3 linked regions of the Schizosaccharomyces pombe genome follow. The main gene of each other region encodes a partner of the protein of the gene in region 2 in a complex. Each region holds a gene or a part of one and is shown on either strand. Other genes may lie near its edges. The genes, in order: mrpl31, mrpl1 and mrpl28.

Region 1 (3,371 bases), on a different chromosome or scaffold from region 2:
CCATCACCCTTGAAGATTGTTTACTGGAGTTTTCCAAGCCAGAGCAGCTTGATTTACAGGATTCCTGGTATTGTCCTGGGTGTAAGGCATTTCGACCGGCAACAAAACGGCTGGAGATCTGGCGATTGCCAAAAATACTAGTCATTCATTTAAATCGATTCAGCGGCCACGGTGGAGATTTGCGGAGAAGACGTAAACGAAGGGATTTAGTAGTTTATCCAGTATTTGATCTCAATTTGAAGCAATTTTTGAGTCCATTTATAAAAGATCATGAGTGGCTATCGTCACAGAAATCGATGCTTTACGATTTGTATGCAGTGGACAATCATCACGGGTTTATGAGTAATGGTCATTATACTGCCTATGCAAGAGATGCATCGAGCCAAACATTCTTTAAGTTTGATGATACAGCTATTTGTGAAATAGATCCGGAGGATATTGTCACATCGTCTGCTTATGTATTGTTTTACAGAGCAAAGAATTAAAGAGACGTATAATAGAGGTGATATGAACTTTACTCTAACTAAAGGCTAATGTCGTTTGTTTGAATATGTATGAAACTGGAAATTGAATATGAACGAAGACGAGGAAGAGGTGGGAGTTTTTGCAATAAAAAAGTAATAAAATAAGCTATTAAAATAATCCATTACATTTATTATTCATAGAGCATTAAAATTATGAAAAAAAAAGTAGTAAACTTTTGCAACCAGACGTTTTTAAAAGCCAGTGGGATTAACACGATTAGTACTACGGGTCCATTTTGGTGATTTATGGACACCCTTGCGGAAGCCTTGGAGACCGGCACCTTGAGTCTTCCTGGTAAACATAGTGTATTTATCCTTTGGTGACATTTGGGATTCAGGCTGATGGTTAGCAACGAAACTTTCAATTCGTTTGCACGATTGATTTTTCTCTTGCAACGCCGTGCGCAAAACATCTACCACCTCATCGACGGCACGAAGTCGTTGACGGTGACGATATTTTCTTCGCTGGGATAATCTCCAAGGTACTTTATGAACAAGACCGCCAAAGCGAGCCAAAGTCGAGTTAAATGCACCCAGCATATTTTTCGTATAAAATCAAAAGGAGAGGAAGAAGGTTGGATCAAAAAGAGCAAATAAAAATTTTTTGTTAAGTTTTTGGGTGATAGACAAATTCTGAGTAGTTGATGGTTTGTCACAAAGTAGTTTACGGCTCCAACGAAACAGCAAAGATGTGAACAAAAATTAACTTGATTAGCGTCCTAAATTGATTTAAATATTATATTGCCATTCAAATATAAACACTACACCTCCAAAATGGTGGAGTTGGTTAACTGAAGAATGATATAGGTTTTGGGTAAGTTCATATCCTTGGGTGTACCTTCCAACTCGAATCCACGTGACCACCTGCCAGTAAGAATCGGCTCATTTCTACTTCCCACCTGCTAGATAAATCGCGATAGGGCATTTGCAACCAACATCTCGAGAGTAATTAGCTCCTGGGTTATAACCGTTAAATACCACCTTTAAGGAAGAATAAGCAGAACTTGATCATGGCAGAGAAGACAATTACTGTTGAAGAAGTGTTAAAACATAACACTCGTGATGATTTGTACATTGTTGTAAAAGACAAGGTGTATGATATTTCCAAGTTCCTTGACGCTCACCCTGGTGGTGAAGAGGTTCTTGTTGATTTGGCCGGTAAGTAAATTTTTAGGGGTACGCGATAATGGAGGTCTTGAGGAAGATTGGTTGTAATGCATAAAAATTGGTCGCGATTGTGTGGAGTCGTAGAAATCGAAGTTTCAGACAACTAGCGTTACAAAACTTTGAATTTCACGAGAGTTTAGGTGTCGCATATACACATGTTCTTTAATTTGAAAGATTCAGGACGAATCTTTGCCGTAGGAACGTACAAAAATAGATGCGATATCCTGAATAAATACGATGTTTAATGCGACATTGTCATTGAAGGTGAATTGTTAAGTACAGTCTATATGTTCCAAGATTGATCGCTCTCTACTCGATGTTTTGTATTTCCAGTACTCTGAATACACTGAAATACATAATTTTGGAAAGATTGATTGACGATATCGCTTCGATTCTTCACATACGGCTTTTGGATTGGCTATACAAAGTTTCTGCCTTTCTCTACCATCGCTAGGGGCTTTTTTTTGTTCGTTTCTGTGATTATTAACTTGTTTTAGGTCGTGATGCTAGCGGTCCTTTCGAGGATGTTGGTCACTCTGAGGATGCTCAGGAGTTGCTCGAAAAATTTTACATTGGAAACTTGCTCAGAGTATGTCATTTATTTTTTCTCTTCGTTCGCCATAGGCTCGTTAAAATTTTTGTAAAAATTTGCTTCGACACTCTAACATATTTTAGACTGAAGATGGCCCTCAGCTTCCCACAACTGGTGCTGCCGCTGGTGGAAGTGGATATGATTCTTCTCAACCAGTTAAGCCTGCTATGTGGCTCTTTGTCCTTGTGATGGTTGTTGCTTACTTTGCTTTTCGCAAGTATGTCCTCAAATAGACTGCTTAAATTCCCAGTCTTACTTTTGCGCTCAAAGAAATTTAAAGGCCTTCTTTCGTTTTGGGTCGTTTAAATGTGCTGAATATGGTTTTGTGATTTTGAGCTAGCAAGTTTCGTTTTTTGTTGTTGTTAGATATCTACTTTAGCTTTCTTTACCTGTTCGTACTTAGGATATTTACGGATTCAATGTATTCCTTTAACACGCTTTGGTTTGGCTCTTAATGTGAATGGCATATTAATATTAATAGAGACCTTTGATTTGTCTGGACGTAAATTTAATTCACAACGGTCTTATGCTTGCTTTGCGTAACTGTATAATTGATAATACTTAGTGTTATATTTTTTGTATTTTCGTTGTTTGTTCTCTCATAAAAAAAAGTTTTATAGTTTCTTCTATTCTATTGTTTTATCGATGGACCTATGCCCAACTTGTCTAGAATTTTAAGCGGTGATCGAGTAAATAAGTTCGGGCGTTATTTAACGATCGAGGATTTATTCATTAAGTCTTTTTTTTTATATATAAATGTAAATTCATGATAATTGCGACACTTTTTACGTCTCAACAATTTTTTTCTACTATTTTAATTTAGGTGCTAATACACAGTTCCTGTAACCACCGCTACCTGCAGACAACCACCATCGCGCCTTTGCGAAAAATCAACTTTTTAAGATATGTCTTGGTTGTTTACAAGAAATAAAGAAGAGGAACCAACCTCAAAGATTGATTCTTCTGAATTGCAGGTCCCTACCGAGGCTACAGCCTCAGATATTTTATCGGGTTCTGAATTCGATCCCGCCAAGTTACATCCCCTCGCTGATTTAGATAAACCTCTGGATTACTTATTGATTGAGGAA
Region 2 (3,713 bases):
AAATTGATAACTTTATTAGTAACTTCACAGAGCTTTATCCTTTTTGATGAAGAACAGAATTCTGGCTGGAAAATTCCATATGAAACCATTACTCTTCATGCGAAACAAAGCAAGGATAAGCCATATGTATATGTTCAATTAGAGGGTGAAGCCATTCGACCCTTGCTAGATCACATTCTTAAATTTGAACGGTCGTCAGGAACATTGCATGAAGCTCCTTCTACCGAAGATGAAAATGAATTCACAGATGATTTTTTAGAACTAACATTATATGTTACTGATGTTGATTCATGTTACCAGGCTCTTTGTACTTGCCAATCTCTACATCCGGACACTTTTTCCTCAGATAATGATGTTGAAAACGCGAGTATGGGAAACCCTATGTCCTTATTTTTTGATCCAAATCACCAGTGGGTTACGGCTGAAAACGTAGATACCTCAGCTTGTGATAACAGATTTGATTCTCCGGAATCGCCTGTTCTGAAATGGCATCGCACAGAGTAACTTTCATAATGTTGTATTCTAACGTTTCATTCATACTTTTTAAAAAGTAGTTTATGATAATAAATAAATATAAACAGGCTTCTAAATTTACTAGATAAAATATCATTACACATTTCACTAATTTGTACAAAATTAATCATGTAATACATATTACAAATGACAAGACTGTAGACTAAATTTCCCATGCAATAACATTTTAATCATTATTTATACTGGAGAGGAATTGCAATAGCATGTGAGGCGGAAAGATGAACATGCTTTACGGTAACTTTAACTTTTCCAGGCAGTTTGGCCAAAGTAAACCGAACATTTGATACAAGTGCTTCGATGTTTTCTTGTAGCTCCTTGTCGCTGAACCCTAGTTTTCCAACCGGCAAATTTATCGAGCCTGCATCATTTTGCCGATAGTCAACAGCTGTGAGGGCAGATTCAATGAGTGGCTTCAATTCATCTGATATAGTACCTCGTTTTATTGAAGGCATAAGACGTTTTGATCCTAATAATTTAGCAACTTGTGGTAGTAATTCTGCCGAGTTGGGATGAGCAAAGCACTTTGAAAATTCAAGGGGCTCTGTTTGAATTTTTTTTACTAAGTCTTCTGCACCAACATAGGTTGCACCCAATTTTAAAGCTTCATCTGCAGCTGCACCTTTAGCAAACACACAAATTTTAGGAGGCTCTTGAAATGGATGAGGAAAGGCAATTTGACCACGAGCTGACGGAGCGCGTCGATTACTTTTTAAAGCAATTGAAAGCATATAAGACCCAACATATGGAACAGAAATGCTCACAGATTTGAGATATTTTGTGGCTTCAGGAACTGTCATCGCAAGAGCGGGAAAATTGGATTTCTTGTTTAGTTGAGAAATAAACCTTTTGCAGAAACCCTTTTGATTTTTAAAATTTAAAAATTCATTATGTGACAATAATGTTTGCCGTTTACCTAACGCTATTAATGAACTCATGGTTTTTAATCTGGTTCGTCAAACTGTCACCAAGCTACTGGATGTCAGTCAATGAACCTGCTAAAATCATAAATCTCTAAACAAATCTGATCCAGCTGTCAACTTTCGAATTAATAAAGAATTATCTTTCAAATCAAATTTCCTTATAATGTTTTTGATTAAAGACTAAAAATAAACGGTTTCGTTTAAATTCCACGTTGTGGTAGTTGTAAGATACTGTAGGGTTATACTAGCAAATCCATCCGTTCACGATGTATATATTTTAAGGAGTTAAAAGTTTGTTCATCGGAGTTTTGAGGGATATAGCATTATGAATTTTGTTTCATAGTTATATCTTCACCGCATCTTGTTAAATCTGCGTCAACTGAATAGTTGTTGGTGAATTGTTGTTAACCTTTGTTGTTGATAAAAAATTTTCCTTATTTGAATCTTTAATATGATAGGAATTCATTTTTTGGATATTGGATGTAGCTTCTGGATAGCTGTCCATGTACCCGACAAGTGAAAGCATGTTCGTTGACTCATTACAGTCCTCATCTTGGAAATGTGAGGGCTCAACTGTTACGTACGTAAGAGTTGTACAGGTTGTTGCTCTTGCTCTTGGCACAAAGTATGCATTACTCAGCTTTTTGTTGTGAAGCATGTCTTGTATCTTCTTCAAGTTGGTGGCTGTTGAACCCATCTTAGCAGACCCTCGGTTATTTAGTTTTGTGTTAGCATGGAATACCAATGGTTTTAACAAGTTTCCTTGTTCTCCGTCATGGCTCAATTTTCCTGCTTCTTTCTTTATATCCAAGTTGCCTGATAACTGTCCACTAAGTTCCTTATTTTCTTGCTTACAGTTAACATATTCATTTGTCTGACTGGGTTCTTTGTTTTCACCAGTCTTAGGCTCATTCTTATTTTCAACCTTACTTGAAAGGGTCGTGGGATTCTCAGAGATTTTGTTTGTAGAAGACTCTATTGGCTTTCGGATGGTAACAGTAGAGCTTCTTTCTGGTTTGACGAACAAAGCTTTGTTGTCTTGCTGCGCTGTTTGTTCTGAAGTAGGTTTGTTTGCAAAAAATGCTTGCAATCTACGAATTCTGTCAGACTTTCGCTCCGCGAAGCAAACGAAAATCCTTTTTTTCCCAACCATCATTCCATTCAATGTGTCTTTGGCTCTAACGGCAGCCTCTATTTGACGAAACGCTACGAAACCATAACCTTTGGAGATTCCTGAATTTGGATAGCATGCTAACATGGAAGACAAAATCGACCCGAAGGGTGAGAATAAATCTTCCAGCTGACTCTTGCATGTGATGACGGTATCATCTAAATTTTTAACGTATAGATTTGAAGGGTCAATAGGAGAATTAGGGATACTTGGAGAGCTTTCACGTAAAGAGTCCCAATGCACGATTGACTGAGGTTTATTATCTGGGTTCCAAGCGGCTGGATGATTTTGCTGATTTGAAACACCGGTAGTTGAAACGCTACCCCATTGGCTTTTCTCCTTAGTTGGTGAGCCCATAATCCATGTCATCTTCGAACATGTAGCATTTTCGATATTTATTTGAGTTTTGTTAGCGTTTTCCGATGGGAAAGGCCATAAGCTTTCACCAGTCGGCGTTGTGGGAATTGACTTCACTGAAGAAGAGGCTTTATTTTTTATACTGACCTCTAAAATGCTTCCTTTGTATGGAACGTTATTTAATTTTTCTATTGCCTTAATAATGAGGTTAGTATCATGAAATAGATTATGCAAATATTGGGGTTTTCTCTTCATATTGAGCTTACATTTTGACATGATTCAACTGAATCCATAATCACTTCGCCATACCGGAACCCTCTTTGGTCAAGAAACTGGCTGACCGCCGTCCCTTTTACTACACCAGCCTGTTTAAAGTGGTTATATAAGTCAATCGGTGTGACTTCGGCAGGTAGGTTCAAGATACTAAGGGGTAACGTAGAAGCGAAGGCATTTGGTACAACTTGCATGCTAATATCTTCCAAACCAAGAGACGGTATGGTAAGCGTTGTTTCTGGCTTCGGGTTACGCGAATTTATGCCTCTCACAGTTTCCCAATTTCTTTCTTCGACATTTGGAATAAATTCCTTAATCTGAGACTGTTTGAGTCCTGGCTTAACGTTTTCCTCATCTGTATTGTTTTGGATGCTAGGATTGAACACGTTCGCAGTGATTGACGTATCGTTAGGTTTGAATTTTTTGTCTGTCAGTTTCGCAGGATTTACGACTCTTGC
Region 3 (3,174 bases), 880 kb from region 2:
CTTATCGAATCTCCAAACAGCAAAGGAAATTTCAAATCATGGCCGCTCCACTGGTCATATTCCAGAACTGATAATCAACAATTTCTCAACGAGACTTGGTATGACTGTTGCTCGAGCCTTTCAATCATTATTTATTCAAACGCCTCAAATTCAAGGGCGACAAGTTGTTACCATCCATTGTCAAAGAGATTTTCTTTTTTTTCGAAGACACCGTTATGCATTTCGTGAAAAATCGAATATGCCAGATGGTATTGGAACTGGGCTACAAGAATTAGGTCCTCGATTTACCATGCGTCTTCGTATGGTTCAAAAAGGAGTATGGGATAGGAAAGAAGGGGAGGTTTTCTTCGAGAGCAATGCCGGTGAAGAATCAGATAGACGTAAATTCTGGCTTTAAAGACATTTTGTCTCATCTGCGACACGTTGTAAAAAGAAAACAGTGTTTGGGTCATATTTTATTGTTTTCGAGGTAGGGTTTGGGTTTGGTAACAATTCTAAATTTTTGGTTAAAAAAGAAAGCATGGCCTTTCATTTTGTATCATTCGTTTACGGTGAAATTGGGAATGAATAATATGATACATGTAGACTAGAAACTAGGAGACATAATTCTTTAATTCAATTATTGGTTTATTTAAAAATCCTAATTAGATTATACTTGCTCGTAATTAGTGATACATTTTTTTATATACTTGAACTTGTCTATAACACTTTCGAGCACTACCGAAGATATTAATTATACTCATAAAAGGCGCTCGCCTATTTAGAAAGCCGTGGTGGTGTGTCCGTAGGAGTCCTCGTTTCTACGGGGAACCTCCTGTTAATTGAATCGCTCATTGCGGCTTTATATAATGTTTCACTCGTATGCTTCAGTTCCTCGCAAGCAATTTTCATTGCAGAGAATTGGTTTTTTAGAAGATTCTCTCTTTGTTTTTCTTGTCGATATTCGTGTATACGCCAAGCGCGATTAATAACTTCGTGTTTTTCCCACATGTCTGGATTCATTTTCAAAGACCTGACTTTTTTATTTCCGTAAAGAGCTTTTCTAACCAAATCGATTGACTCACTATGATTAGAAGGACCAGATTGGTGCTTTCCCTTTGAGGCCTTAGCCATTAATTGTAACGTAGAACGCATCTGCCAAAAAACTTTTCAACACAAACTAAAGTACTCCTTGAATTTTTTCACGTTGATAGAAAAAAATTTAATTTTCAAAAGTATTAACATAAAACCTTCCTTTAAAAGCTAAAAAACCTGAGTAGAGAAAAATGCGGTAGTAGTAAACGTGTTCAGTGGTATGAAGCTAATTAAGAGAGTAAGTCGTGATACACTAGGAAAAGCCACCAGTACGATATTTCAAAAAAAGAAGTGTTTCATCAAATCCCCTTCAATTTCACACACTGATAAAAAAAATATAGATTATAATTCGGAGTTCATTTAATTGTTTCTGAATTTTCAGTAGCTAAGCCAAACAAAGCATATGCATTTATGGAGATATGTAACCAAACGAAGACATTTAACAAGTAGAAAATATTAAGTTTTAAGTCAAAGCTTTATATGGAGTAGGCCTGATGCTCAATTTTTCTGCTAAGTTTCATGTAAGTAGTCAAACACATTGATAAATCCATATCAGTGTTTAAAGTTTTAATGAATGGATAAGTTATTGTAATAAATACTATCATCAACTGAAAATGGCATGGCAAAACGAAGCTTAAACCTCAATACAATCTACTTCCAGTACGTTTTTCAGTAGAAGTCATGAATTAAGTTGATTTTTTCAGCTTAACACTGTACTGTAAATTTGTCGATTAGCATACCTACATTCTGCATCTGTTTTAGACTAGTCCATTAAAGTTCAATTCCTAGAGGAAAAAATATTTAATACGCTAGTTATACCCAAAAATGTTTGTCAAAATATAAAAGAATAAATTTTTGTATCCCATCGAATAATATGAATGCTGCGAGATATTCTATTCCAAGGCAATATACATACACTAACACCAAACCAGCGACGTTCGGGTACAAACTTCGGAATTCCTTGCTCAAGCATCTATTATAGTGATTTTTGAGATTTTATACAGCTCAAATATTAAATTTCCCCAAATAATGATCCGTTTTGCTCAATATGCTCGATATCCGGTAATTTCAAGGTTGATGAAGCCAACAGTTATTTCACCATTTCAGGCTCAAGCGTTTTCTAGCTCTTCAGTTATGTTAAAGACATTAAATCAAACGATAAGAAATAAAGAGAAACGTCCTGAAAAAACAAATAAGCAATCTGTTGCTTTAGAGGGAAGTCCGTTTCGACGGGGTGTGTGCACGAGGGTCTTTACAGTAAAACCCAAAAAACCTAATTCGGCAGTAAGAAAGGTTGCCCGTGTACGCCTTTCAACCGGCCGTTCTGTTACTGCTTACATTCCAGGTATCGGTCATAATGCACAGGAGCATGCTGTGGTATTGTTAAGAGGCGGCAGAGCACAGGATTGTCCAGGAGTCCAATATCATGTTGTTCGGGGTGTCTATGACATTGCTGGTGTAGCGGGACGTGTCACATCCCGAAGCAAGTATGGAGTAAAAAAACCGAAAGCAGCCTAAACTTCATGACCTCAAAGACTTTCTTTTTCGAAAACCATGATATTCAGAAACGTTATCTTTATAATTATTCCACCTCCTCTTTTGATATCGATTCACAAGGACCTTATTAAAATGACTGAAACAAAAATTTAAATGAGAAAAAAGTTGAGTCAACCCATTTGTCATTTCTCGCAACCTTGCTTCTTGTTGCAACTATACATATTCAATAATCATTTACTCTTGCATGTTTAATAAGCAATTTTTTAGTTGAACTACATCCCCTTTAAACATACAATCATCAAAAAAAGGTAAAAAAGATTGTGTAATTAGGCAATTTCCAGTTATCTAAAAAATTAGCAAATAGATAATCCTTTTGGTTAAAATTTAACCAAATCTATCTAAACAATGATTTATTAAAATGAGGAGGATTTTCTTTTGAGAAATCCTTTTGGAAAGTTTTCTACTTTTTTGATATAAGCTCTTTAAATAAATTTTAAACTTGAGACGCTTTCAATTTTTAATTTGTTCAATTTGGTTTTACTACCGTGCTATTTAATTTTTAACTCTTGAATAAAGTATAAAAAACACCTTTTGGGTGTTGGA

The links.
Region 1: mrpl1 (region 2) and mrpl31 share a complex: the UniProt entries of both Schizosaccharomyces pombe proteins name them as parts of the mitochondrial large ribosomal subunit.
Region 3: mrpl1 (region 2) and mrpl28 share a complex: the UniProt entries of both Schizosaccharomyces pombe proteins name them as parts of the mitochondrial large ribosomal subunit.

Annotation. Positions count from the first base shown.
Region 1 is NC_003421.2:886,551-889,921, reverse strand, and holds mrpl31 (mitochondrial 54S ribosomal protein mL60), read right to left. Parts: upstream 1,337-3,371; 5' UTR 1,065-1,336; coding exon 717-1,064; 3' UTR 627-716; downstream 1-626. Other genes in the region: ubiquitin hydrolase Ubp1, read left to right, coding at 1-485; oca8 (cytochrome b5), read left to right, coding at 1,535-1,682, 2,189-2,280, 2,367-2,516; TIM23 translocase complex subunit Tim23, read left to right, coding at 3,189-3,371. UniProt on the Schizosaccharomyces pombe protein: Component of the mitochondrial ribosome (mitoribosome), a dedicated translation machinery responsible for the synthesis of mitochondrial genome-encoded proteins, including at least some of the essential transmembrane subunits of the mitochondrial respiratory chain.
Region 2 is NC_003424.3:1,790,775-1,794,487, forward strand, and holds mrpl1 (mitochondrial 54S ribosomal protein uL1m), read right to left. Parts: upstream 1,678-3,713; 5' UTR 1,470-1,677; coding exon 708-1,469; 3' UTR 626-707; downstream 1-625. Other genes in the region: protein saf5, read left to right, coding at 1-504; poly(A)-binding protein Crp79, read right to left, coding at 1,819-3,177, 3,249-3,713. UniProt on the Schizosaccharomyces pombe protein: Component of the mitochondrial ribosome (mitoribosome), a dedicated translation machinery responsible for the synthesis of mitochondrial genome-encoded proteins, including at least some of the essential transmembrane subunits of the mitochondrial respiratory chain.
Region 3 is NC_003424.3:2,667,752-2,670,925, reverse strand, and holds mrpl28 (mitochondrial 54S ribosomal protein mL40), read right to left. Parts: upstream 1,276-3,174; 5' UTR 1,114-1,275; coding exon 757-1,113; 3' UTR 558-756; downstream 1-557. Other genes in the region: Brix domain-containing protein Rpf1, read left to right, coding at 1-397; mrps12 (mitochondrial 37S ribosomal protein uS12m), read left to right, coding at 2,104-2,592. UniProt on the Schizosaccharomyces pombe protein: Involved in mitochondrial genome encoded proteins translation.